3 linked regions of the Xenopus tropicalis genome follow. Each later gene encodes a partner of the first gene's protein in a complex. Links are inferred from orthologs where the notes say so. Each region holds a gene or a part of one and is shown in the gene's direction. Other genes may lie near its edges.

What was found. Proteins that work in one complex are often made in the same cells at the same time.
Region 2: armc7 (region 1) and rbmx2 share a complex: the UniProt entries of both Homo sapiens proteins name them as parts of the minor spliceosome. The link is inferred for Xenopus tropicalis from reciprocal best matches to the Homo sapiens genes ARMC7 and RBMX2.
Region 3: armc7 (region 1) and cript share a complex: the UniProt entries of both Homo sapiens proteins name them as parts of the minor spliceosome. The link is inferred for Xenopus tropicalis from reciprocal best matches to the Homo sapiens genes ARMC7 and CRIPT.

Annotation. Positions count from the first base shown.
Region 1 is NC_030686.2:44,366,008-44,370,660, forward strand, and holds armc7 (armadillo repeat-containing protein 7), read left to right. Parts: upstream 1-1,553; 5' UTR 1,554-1,625; coding exon 1,626-1,701; intron 1,702-1,705; exon of another isoform or gene 1,706-1,795; coding exon 1,796-1,960; intron 1,961-3,608; coding exon 3,609-3,961; 3' UTR 3,962-4,563; downstream 4,564-4,653. UniProt on the Homo sapiens protein: As a component of the minor spliceosome, involved in the splicing of U12-type introns in pre-mRNAs.
Region 2 is NC_030684.2:38,934,865-38,937,566, reverse strand, and holds part of rbmx2 (RNA-binding motif protein, X-linked 2), read left to right. Parts: intron 1-1,126; coding exon 1,127-1,256; intron 1,257-1,871; coding exon 1,872-2,046; intron 2,047-2,424; coding exon 2,425-2,702. UniProt on the Homo sapiens protein: Involved in pre-mRNA splicing as component of the activated spliceosome. As a component of the minor spliceosome, involved in the splicing of U12-type introns in pre-mRNAs.
Region 3 is NC_030681.2:19,971,774-19,976,382, forward strand, and holds the start of cript (cysteine-rich PDZ-binding protein), read left to right. Parts: upstream 1-1,664; 5' UTR 1,665-1,666; coding exon 1,667-1,682; intron 1,683-2,766; coding exon 2,767-2,832; intron 2,833-4,363; coding exon 4,364-4,418; intron 4,419-4,609. UniProt on the Homo sapiens protein: As a component of the minor spliceosome, involved in the splicing of U12-type introns in pre-mRNAs. Involved in the cytoskeletal anchoring of DLG4 in excitatory synapses.

The DNA of each region.
Region 1 (4,653 bases):
TTGGCTTGTTTGCAGTGTCGGACTGGGACCCCAGGGGCCCACTAGAAAACCTTAGACCATGGGCCCACTCTCCAAATTAATTTTCCTCCTTTCCTCACTAAAACCACTTTATTCTCCTAGTCTGTTTTATTTACATGCTAGCATCTATTCTTCCATCTATTTCTTCTCTTTGTTCCCATTCAGAAATAGGGAATGACCATGAATAGGCCAAATGGTGAGGAGCAGGAGGGCCCACTGACCCCTGGGCCCACCGGGAGTTTTCCTGGTATCCTGGTGGGCCAGTCCGACTCTGTTTGTGTGCACTGTGAATCCCAGGGGGATAAAAGTGAGTTATAAAATACCCTATATTTAGCATCTGTGCCACTGGTCTTTTTTTTTACTTATTTTTAAATTATTTGCTGCCTTTTTCTGCCTCTCTATGCTTTCAGGCAGTCAGCCAGCCAAAAAACTATTGCTCTGAGAGGCTATTGTTATTCAGTACCATATCTCACGTGGTTGCTAGTTTAAATATGACCCTAGCAACCAGATAGTTGCAGAAATACCAAACTAGAGACGTGTTAACATCCCAATTCCTTATGCACATGATTTATAGCCATTTTACCCCTATATACATGTGTGGCGATATAAAGAGTAGAAGGCCATTGCATATTTATATTTGGGCTGCTTTTTACCCCCAGTCTGGCCCTGCAGCTTGGTGTTTCCATTTAACGTTCAATTTTCAGTGCGGCTTGGGCAGCATGCCACCCTAAGGGCTCTGGCACACGGGGAGATTAGTCGCCCGCGGCAAAACTCCCTGTTCGTGGGCAACTAATCTCCCCGAGTTGCCTTCCCCTGCCATCCCACCGGCGAACATGTAAGTCGCGGGTGGGATGGCACACGCGGCGGCGCGATTTCACGCAAATCGCCGAAGTTGCCTTGCGAGGCTTTTTCAGCGATTTGCGCTAAATCGCGCTGCCGCGTGTGCCATCCCACCGGCCACTTACATTTTCGCCAGTGGGATGGCAGGGGAAGGCAACTCGGGGAGATTAGTTGCCCACGAACAGGGAGTTTTGTCGCGGGTGACTAATCTCCCCGTGTGCCAGAGCCCTTAATCTGTTCCGCCCCGGGCCTGGGCCTTTGTTGCCTGGGTGTCACGTGTTTTCTATTGAAACGAGTGTCTGGAGGGGCGGGGTCAGACGGTATTGCGCCAATACGGCCCGTGGGCCATAGTTGTAAGAATTGTGTGAGCAGCAGATAAGTACCACAGTCTTCATTTTTTTATCCTCTGAGGTTTTTGCCACTTTAGCACTTCTACACTTTCCAATTTCCTGCTACCAAGTTGCCAACCTGAAGAGTGAGTAGGAGAGGGTCTGAAGAGAAAAATACATCATAAATATATAAATCTCAATACAAAAGTATACTCATAGCATGACATTTTGTTTATTTCTATTGTTCCCACCCTCACACTTACCCGGGTAATTCTGCCCCTAACGCTACAGTTCCGCCTCAGCGCTTTGCGCCTCCCTCACGCTTCCCGCCCGGAAGTAGGACGAGAACTGGCACCCGACTTGAGGCTTCTGCCAGTACGGTGACATCACTTCCGCCCACCCGGAAGCGCAGGTACTGCGGGCTGATAGAGAGCGGGGATGGGTGACGGGGAGTCGGAGCGGTTTCAGTACCTGCAGACGTTGGTCACTGAGTTCCAGGACACGGACAGTGTCGGTAAGGGAGAGAGAGGGGGAGATTTAACCCCATTCAGTTTCGTTACGGTTGTAGTTTTGTACCAACTCTCCGCATCATTTCCTCTTCTCATTAGTTTCTCCCCTTAATTGCTCAGAAGCCAAAGAGCAGGTCCTGGCCAATCTGGCCAACTTCGCCTACGATCCCCGGAACTTTTCCGACCTGCGGAAGCTACAGGTGCTGGACCTGTTCCTGGATATGCTGACTGAGGGCAATGAGAACCTGGTGGAGTTTGGCCTGGGTGAGAGAATGTACTGAAGTGCTGAGCCCACAATGTGCCCCCATGTGTGGCAGGAGGGTCACAATATAATGCAATATAATCTCAGCTCCCACCAGCATCCTCCCCCCAGCATCCTCCCACCAGCATCCTCCAGCTCCCCCCAGCATCCTCCTCAGCATCCTCCCACCAGCTCCCCCCAGCATCCTATCCCAGCATCCTCCCACCAGCTCCCCCCCAGCATCCTTCAACTCCCCCCAGCATCTTCCTCAACATCCTCCCACCAGCATCCTCCAGCTCCCCCCAGCGTCCTTGCCAGCATCCTCCAAGCTCAGGGGACACATTGACTTGATGGAGGCCCTGAGTGTAACGCTGGCCCGAAATCACAGGCCTCTCAGCTCCCCCCAGCATCTTCCCACCAGCATCCTCCAGCTCCCCCCAGCATCCTATCCCAGCATCCTCCTCAGCATCCTCCCACCAGCTCCCCTCCAGCATCCTTCCCAGCATCCTCCAGCTCCCCCAGCGTCCTTCCCAGCATCCTGCTCAACATCCTCCCACCAGCTCCCCCCCAGCATCCTTCAGCTCCCCTCAGCATCCTTCAACTCCCCCCAGCATCTTCCTCAACATCCTCCCACCAGCATCCTCCAGCTCCCCCCAGTGTCCTTCCCAGCATCCTCCTCAACATCCTCCCACCAGCTCCCCCCCAGCATTCTTCAACTCCCACCAGCATCTTCCTCAACATCCTCCCACCAGCATCCTCCAGCTCCCCCCAGCGTCCCTACCCAGCATCCTCCCACCAGCTCCCCCCAAGCATCCTCCCACCAGCCCCCCTCCAGCATCCTCCCACCAGCTCCCCCCCAGCATCCTTCTCAGCATCCTCCTAAACATCCTCCCCCCCCCCCCAGCGACCTACAGCGACCAATCAGGAGTCAGCGGACCGGATTAAAAAGGCCAATGGGCCAGACATGGCTTGCAGGCCGTAGTTTGCCCACCCCTGATATAATGACTCCGCCCCAATCTCCAGTTGATGGACAGTATAGTGAAAGTGGCTATAGGTGGGCAGTGGGTAGATGCTTAAATTTTCTGCTTGATGACAGTGGGACGGACCATTGAAAAAAAGCCAGTGTCAGACTGGGGGCCCCTCACTGAGGGTGGAGGGCCGATGTTGCTGGCAGGGATCAGGCCTGGGTTGGTGGGGCCCACTGGGATTTTTCTCATTGTCCCAGTCTGTCCCTGGGAAAAGCCCAATATGCAACCTGGCACTGGAGGGGGGGGTGGCAGAATCAGTAGGTTTTATCAGCCCATCTATGGCCACCGTGTACCACCCCCCCCAACCCCTCGCCTGTCATTGGTCTCTGACAAACACGGCTCTGGTATATTTATCGTTTTCACTACAAACTTCTGTGCGATCCTTTTATACCCAGATAAACATCCTGTGTTGCGAATATAAACATTGGGTGCAGTGAAAGCCCAGTTATCTTGTATTAACCACTTCCAGCAGGACGGAAGGATATTGTAGGTTTGGGCAATATGTTTTTTTCCATCTTTCCTATGGGATCCCCCCCCCCCCTAAAAAACATGTCCTCAATTTCAATTGTGATCAAACCCCCTGTAGGTCATAATGTCTTTGAAATTGTTAGTTTGCCTTTAACCATTCTCTCTTTTCCAATAGGGGGTCTCTGTAATCTCTGCCTGGACAAGACTAACAAGAGTCACATACTAGACTCCGGGGGGCTGAAATTGGTCATCAATTGCCTGTCCAGCCGTCGGGAAGAGACGGTGCTTTCGGCGCTGACCACACTCATGTTCCTGTGCACGGCCGCCTCCCGCACTGAAGTGACGGCTCCTGCTGTGGTGGAGTGCATGGTGCGCTTCTCCCTTTCCACCAACCGCAGGATCAGCAATTTGGCCACCATCTTCCTGCAGGATTACTGCAGCGATAAGCAAGTGCAAGAAGCCAAAGAACTGAGCCAACATTCGGCATTGGGAATCCCGCTCCCTGAATCCACGCAGCACCCCATCTGACTCCCGTGTCGGACATTTGCACCCTACTAGAAACAGATGCAGCATGGCTGTTCTCGGAGTGTGACAAACTCTGTGTTTGAAGTGCTGGTCACTTTCATGATCATGAAACAAGTTTGGGAGACAAGTGCAAGCCTTGCCGGACTGCAGTCCCCTGCAAGATACTGTTCCGTGATTCAGTTATGGACTGACCCCATGGTCCCTCGTGTATTTATTTCTACTGTATTAAAATCATTAAAGAGGAAAAGCACTCGGTGCTGCTATCTACACTGCTATCCACTCTTCGTGAGTGGCCAATGGTTGGCGAGATTGTACAGTTGTGTTTCTTAGCTCTCCCCAGCAAAGCTTCATGGGTTATTCAGGGTCCATGAAAGGGGTGGGGGAACCTTATGGTAGGGGGTGACACTTGGGTGGATCATGGGGAGAGTTTTAATATAATTGCAGTGGATTAGGGATGTGGCTATGCATGTGAGGGGATTCATTTTACCTGTTTACAAGGCCTGGAAGCACAAGAGACTGGTGAGCTAATAATTGAGGGGGCCCTGCTAGCTTTTAAGTATGGGGCCCATGAATACCGATGCTCAAAGAGTCCAATAGCCAAAGATCCAAAACACAACCAAAATCTGGAAGGGCGGTGCACACACATATACCTCATACGTGCAACAACTACTTGATGATAGATACTGGCACCCCAA
Region 2 (2,702 bases), on another chromosome or scaffold:
CCAGAGCTCTAAAGAGGAGCAGGTACTGACTGGGAGAAGCTTTCATCTTGTGTGGCCTTGCTGCAGTTTAGTAAGTATAGGGTATGAGCCATATATAAAGAGAGGCACTAGCACTAGACCAGGCACTAGGGAAAGCCCATTTAATGTCTTGTTGAATCAACAAGAACTAAACAAACTAGTATAACATGATAAAGTACAGGGGCACACCCTCTGCCCCACCTTCTTGAGACAGGACAATCAACAAACTGAATTGTAGGGGGATTTCAGACTCTGTCTCCCAAGATTGGAGCCTGAAGAGTTTCACTGTTTGTTCTGCTTTGAGCAGTGGCTCATCTAAACCTAGATGTTTGCATTGACATCGTGAATGGTAAGAAGTTCACTTTTCTGTTCTCTAGATTGGAGTCACAGGCACCATGGGATGATAAAGATCCTGAAAGCATTAAAAGTGACTCCTTTTTCTGCTCTAGGCTCTGTCTCCTCTCTTTCCTCAGATCCTTAGTTTCATTTTAGTAGTGATGCATCAAATCCATAAATGCAAAATCCTTTACAAAAGGCTCAACAGAACAACAAACCAAATACCATACTGTATCATAATATGCATATACAAATTTGTAAAAGATCACCATTTGTGAACAAAAAAAAAACATCATGACTTTCAGGATTTGGATTTTTTTTGACTACAGACTTGAGATTTGACTGTATGCTTTGTAAAGTTATAGGATTTGGTCACTTCCTAAAACGAATCAGGTTTTGGGAAACAGGCCATTCCTCTGGTTTCTTGTTCAGTGTTAGTTGCCTATACTTTTAGGCATGTTCTCTATTTTAGGTTTTACTGTTGTTGTTGGGTTTTATTTTGGGTAGAGGTAAAACATTTGACTCTGTGTAGGGTCTCCCCTTGTTCAGTCCAGGAAACTGAAGATCTGAGGGTAGCATGCTGGGGATAAAGCCTAGAGGAAGCGGAGTAGTAGCTACTTTTTAGTGTCTTTTTTTTCCATCTGCAGGCATGGTGCCTATCCTCCCAAATTTAAGAGAAGAGAAAATAATTTGTTATGATATTTTAAAAGTTTTTCCTACATTTTGTTTAAATTTACCAATGGCTGTGTCCTAATTGTTGAATATTCTTCAGGTATGGTGAGGTGGTAAATATTAATCTGGTCCGTGATAAATCTTCAGGCCGTTCCCGTGGCTTTTGCTTCTTGTGTTTTGAGGATCAGAGAAGCACTGTACTGGCCGTGGATAATCTTAATGGCATCAAGGTAACAAATAACATGTTACAATACTCATAGGGCTAAAGTTTATCCAGATGACTGCATAACCCATTATGTATTTTTATGCATGTGAGGTCCCTCTTTATTGTTTATTAGAATACAATATCATTGAGGACTCAGAGATACACATAGATGTAAGGGATTCCATTCGTGTTTACAATATTTTCTTCGCTTTTAGCAGCCACCTAAAGATCATTCAATAGGCTCACTAGAAAGAGTTCTTCCTATTATTGTTTATTCCATGTTTTTTTCTGTATTGTCCATCTCTTGCTTATGCTTTTGCTTCTGTGGTCCAGGTTCTTTGGGGTAACCTGTGCCTATGGTACTTCCCCCCCCCATAAAGATTGTTTTATATAAAATACAGGGACAGCTTCAAGGTCTGCTGCCGTTTCCCAGCATCCTGACATTTCACTACCTGTATTTTAATGATTTTGGCTACAATTTGAGAAAAACCCTGCAAAGAAGACCTGATAACCTTATATTACCACTCCCCAACCATGCCACTTATTCAACAGTGTTTTTGTCCTAAACATTTTTTTGCCTGTTACCAGAAAAGTGGATTTTAGTTATTCTTACTTTGGGAATACCATTCTGTTTATTCAGGTAAAGGGGCGCACAATCCGTGTAGATCATGTTGCCAATTATCGTCCTCCCAAGGATGCAGAAGACATTGATGAAATTACACAATCTCTTAGAGAAAAGGGATGTGGGGCACGAACGCCATCCCCAGTGTCATCCTCACAGGACGAAGACGAAGAGCCACCAAGGAAAAAGAAAGGTGTTTTATCAGTAGTTTTCTAATAGTGTGAACTCGTTACAAGTAGCAAGGGATGGATTGCTTATACCCCCCCCCCAAAAAAAAATACAATCACTGTTATGTTTTCATTAAACAGGAGAAGTATCCTAGAATACAATATTTTAATTTACCTAAGCACATTTAACCTTTCAAATTGGGGCCTTTTTTTTACCTATCATGCTGTTGCCTTATTCACAGCATTAACTAGTGATGGTAGCAGGAAAAATTATCATATTTTATTACAATTTCCAATTTTACATTTGCCATTATTATTATAGTCCTGCTGGTTGTTTACAGCTGATCTGTGTATTTAATTCTTCTGCTAAACTAAATTGATAGTTTTTTGTTTTTTCATGTTAGATAAGAAGAAAAAAAAAGACAAAAGCAGGAGGAAAGAGGAAGAGGGTGGCAACAGCAGGCATAACAAACAAGAACGTTTGGATTCCCCTTATGACAGATCCAGGACAATTGAGAAGTTTTCCAGGGTGGGAAGTGAGAGCTCAAGGGCCATGGAAGAAAACCGTGGCTCTCACAAAAAGAGTAACAGCAAAGGTGATTCCCATGATAAGTACAAAGAACAGCACAAGGAAAAAGAGGAACGCAAAGAGCGAGAACAACAAATGCCAAGAGATAAGTAC
Region 3 (4,609 bases), on another chromosome or scaffold:
GTATGAATACTTTTACATCCTAAGCATTTTAGGGTTAAAAAAACACTCGCACTCCACCCGCACTTTTGCGCAGTATCCCTGGGAGTCAGTGGGAACCACAAGAGGTAGTTGGGAGGTTCATTATTTACACCAGCAGCGAATCCACTAAGTCTCACATTAGCTTTATGTCAGTCTATGTATGGCCCATATTTAGCCTCCCCAAACAAAAAAGTCACCCTCCGCCTATGCAATCTCCCCTAACTGGCCTTCAGGCTGCCCTGTGTATGTAGCCACAGAATGGGCAATCTCCCCTAACTGGCCTTCAGGCTGGGCTGCCCTGTGTATGTAGCCACAGAATGGGCAATCTCCCCTAACTGGCCTTCAGGCTGGGCTGTGTATGTAGCCACAGAATGGGCAATCTCCCCTAACTGGCCTGCAGGCTGGGCTGCCCTGTGTATGTAGCCACAGAATGGGCAATCTCCCCTAACTGGCCTTCAGGCTGGGCTGTGTATGTAGCCACAGAATGGGCAATCTCCCCTAACTGGCCTTCAGGCTGGGCTGTGTATGTAGCCACAGAATGGGCAATCTCCCCTAACTGGCCTTCAGGCTGGGCTGTGTATGTAGCCACAGAATGGGCAATCTCCCCTGACTGGCCTTCAGGCTGGGCTGCCCTGTGTATGTAGCCACAGAATGGGCAATCTCCCCTAACTGGCCTTCAGGCTGGGCTGTGTATGTAGCCACAGAATGGGCAATCTCCCCTAACTGGCCTTCAGGCTGGGCTGTGTATGTAGCCACAGAATGGGCAATCTCCCCTAACTGGCCTTCAGGCTGGGCTGTGTATGTAGCCACAGAATGGGCAATCTCCCCTAACTGGCCTTCAGGCTGGGCTGCCCTGTGTATGTAGCCACAGAATGGGCAATCTCCCCTAACTGGCCTTCAGGCTGGGCTGTGTATGTAGCCACAGAATGGGCAATCTCCCCTAACTGGCCTTCAGGCTGGCCTGTGTATGTAGCCACAGAATGGGCAATCTCCCCTAACTGGCCTTCAGGCTGCCCTGTGTATGTAGCCACAGAATGGGCAATCTCCCCTAACTGGCCTTCAGGCTGCCCTGTGTATGTAGCCACAGAATGGGCAATCTCCCCTAACTGGCCTTCAGGCTGGGCTGTGTATGTAGCCACAGAATGGGCAATCTCCCCTAACTGGCCCTTCAGGCTGGGCTGTGTATGTAATGGGCAATCTCCCCTAACTGGCCTTCAGGCTGAACACCCCATGTTGCTAATTGTCTTTACTACAACTCCCATCACTCCCCCTAGGAGCTTATGCAAACACACCAATGGAAGGAAGCAGCTGTAGCTCAACAGCACCAAAACTCCCACAGACTGAGCTATATATATATATATATATATATATAAGGGTAGAAGGGAAGTCCCGCTGTGTCTCCCAATACTCACCTGTGCGCTCATTGACCCTGCACCACTTCTGGTTCTGGTTCCTCCTCCCTCACCTGAAAAGGAGCAGAAGCTGTGTTTGATAGACAGTCACATAAGCCAATCAGGCGGCGGCTTCCGCCAACTGACGTTGACGTTCCGGAGCGGTTTCCATTGGTGGTGACGAGATCCGGAAGTGACGTTCCTAAGGAACTTTGTTGACAAGAGCCGTGTGATTGTTGGTGTGACCGGAGTGGGACATGGTGTGCGATAAGTGTAAGTAACAAACCGGGTTTAATCTCGCTGGGTGTATTTCCTGGTACCGGGCAGCTCCCATAGAGCCGTGTTATGTGGGTAACGCTTACACCTGCCATTGGATACATTTGCCGAGCAGCTGTAAACCATGGCGTCCTGTTTATATTATCCTTCACATTCGTCTGCGCAACTGGCTGAGCAAAGCCAATGGCTGGTTGGTTGCTAGGGGTGCCTACTGTTAGTAATAAATAAAGCAGACATAGCTGTAGCTCTGGTTTATCCGCTGTTCGCAATACGTAGTAATATACTTACTGTGCTGCCGGCTATTACTATTCTCCCTGACTGTATTGCTCATTGTCACTATATATTCTGATTATCTCATTGACGTTTTTGGATACCTGTATGGGAGAATGTAATTACTGTTGTTTTTAAAGGGATAATGTCATGACTTATGTGGTATACTTTTTATTTCTAAATTACACTGTTTACATAGCAAATAATTCACTCTGCCATTTAAAATGTTATTCTTGAACCAACAAATGTATTTGTAGCTGTAATATTGGTGTGTAGGCGCCATCTCAGTGCCTTGTGCCTGAGTCTGAGCTTTCAGCCAGCGCTACACATTAGAACTGCTTTCAGCTAACCTATTGTTTCTCCTACTCCCATGTAACTGGAGGAGTCCCAAGCCGGACTTGGATTTCTTACTATTGAGTGCTATTCTGATACCTACTGGGAGCTGCTATCTTGCTCCCTTCCCATTGTTCTGCTGATCGGCTGCTGGGAGGGGGCGGGGGATATCACTCCAACTTGCAGCGCAGCAGTAAATTGTGATTGAAGTTTATCAGAGCACAGGTTACATGGCTGTGGCACCCTGGGAAATGAAGAATATGGCTAGCCCCATGTGAAATTTCAAAATTAAATATAAAAAAAATCTGTTTGTATATTTGAAAAACAGATTACAATGCAGGATTCTGCTGCAGAAGCTCTATTAACTGATGGGTTTTGAAAAAAACGTGTTTTCCCATGACAGTATTCCTTTAAGGACGTAGATAGGGATATGTGTGTGCAGGAGCAGCATTAACTAATGACGTGTATTTAATGACAGGTGAGAAGAAACTGGGCACAGTTATCACTCCAGACACATGGAAATCCGGTGCCAGGAATACCACTGGTAAGTTGTGGTGCCATTTAATCGGATTTGCATTATTGTGTATCAATCCACTAGCACTTCTTGCTCTTCCCAGTCTTTCAGAGGCAGAACTTTGATCCTATTATAAAGGCCAGATATTGTTTATATAAAGGCAGACTTTAATATTTATTTTTTTTGTAAAATATATGGTGACATTTAAGGGCTGAACCTGTTGTGCTGTGTTATTAAAGGCTTCAAAGTGTGCCTCTGCCACCTATGCAGCTTCCCTTAATAAGTACACAAGCAAAACATTTGTACACTAAAGGCTTATATGAATAAACTCATTGGTTAAAGGAGAAGGAAAGGTAAAAACTAAGTAAACTTTATCAGAAAGGTCTATGTAAATACAGTCATAAGCACTCACAGAAACGCTGCACTGAGTCCTCTGTCAAAAGAAACACAGGATTTCTTGTCTACTTTTTTGTAAACATGTTCTTAGGGTATCTGACTTTCTCTCTCAGAAAAATCCTTCATTCCTGTGACCAGAGTCAGTGCAGCTCTCTCCTCTCTCCTGCTCCCCCCTCCCATAAGAATTCATAAGACTCACTCCCCCCTCCCTTAGGAATGTGTAATCTGAGCTATAACGCTAGACTGCAAACAGGAAGCTATGGAGACCAAGCTAAAATGGCAGCTGCAATCTTAAAAAGAGAAAGCTTCTAGGGCTCTTTACTCAAGTATGGCAATGCTTTCTGCAGAATAAATATAGTGTTCTAGGTGGCACTAATGTGGCAAACCTATTGGCAGTTAAATGCCAAAATGACTTCTTCTCCTTTAATGCCTCCATGAAGTGCCACCAGTTATTATCTTTAGCCATTTTTTAACAATCTCTTTACCTGAAATGTTATCGCTGCATGTATCTAGCTAATATTAGCAGAGTAATGCAATTAAAAGCATTAACTGATATTTTTATTGCCTATTGTAAATTGATGATAAGCTATTTTTTTCTAAATAAATATGGTATAAAATACACTTTTTTGCTTGAAAAACAGTCGGTTTAGTTTATTCAGTGACTGGCTTACCCAAAGGAGGCTGTTTGAAGCCATGGCCACTTCCAGAGTCTTCCCTCCCTCCTCCAGAACTGCACCACCAGGGACCCCTAAAACTGCTCTGTTTGGTCTACCTGGTTAAGGCTTATTTTCAACTGGGGTGGCGGACTTTCATTTTTTGATGAATTGTTCCATTCACACGTAAGCCTTCTTTAGTGAATATGCCACTGTTTGTTTATTTTAATAGGCAGTATTTTTTTGTCTTGTTTTGGCACAACAGTCCCTGTCAGAATTAATGTTTGCTCAAGTAAAAGAAAAAATCCAAAATATTTCATTTGTTTGCCTATGGCCCCTAAGTCCTGGAGCTGGTAACCTCTCTATAGTATTATGTACAATGTTTCAAATGGGGGACTTGATGGGAGGCTTATATTTCTAATTTATTTAATTAAACAAACACATTTGGCTTCTGTGGGAAAGGATTATTACAGTATTCTTCTGGTTATTGATTTTTCTCTCTCTTTACACAGAAAGTGGAGGCAGAAAACTAAATGAGAACAAGGCACTGACATCAAAGACTGCAAGGTGAGTACTAATCACACAGTGTCTCCTTTTCAACTTGAGTTCAGTGTATAGGGTTTGCTGTGAACATACTTTTTGCCTATTGTAACTCACTTTCAAATATCCTCAAATATTTTGAGGATTTGTGACAATCACTAGGCTTAACTGCTTTACTGCAGCTCAAAGTAGATTGAGCATGTGCGGTGTCACTGACA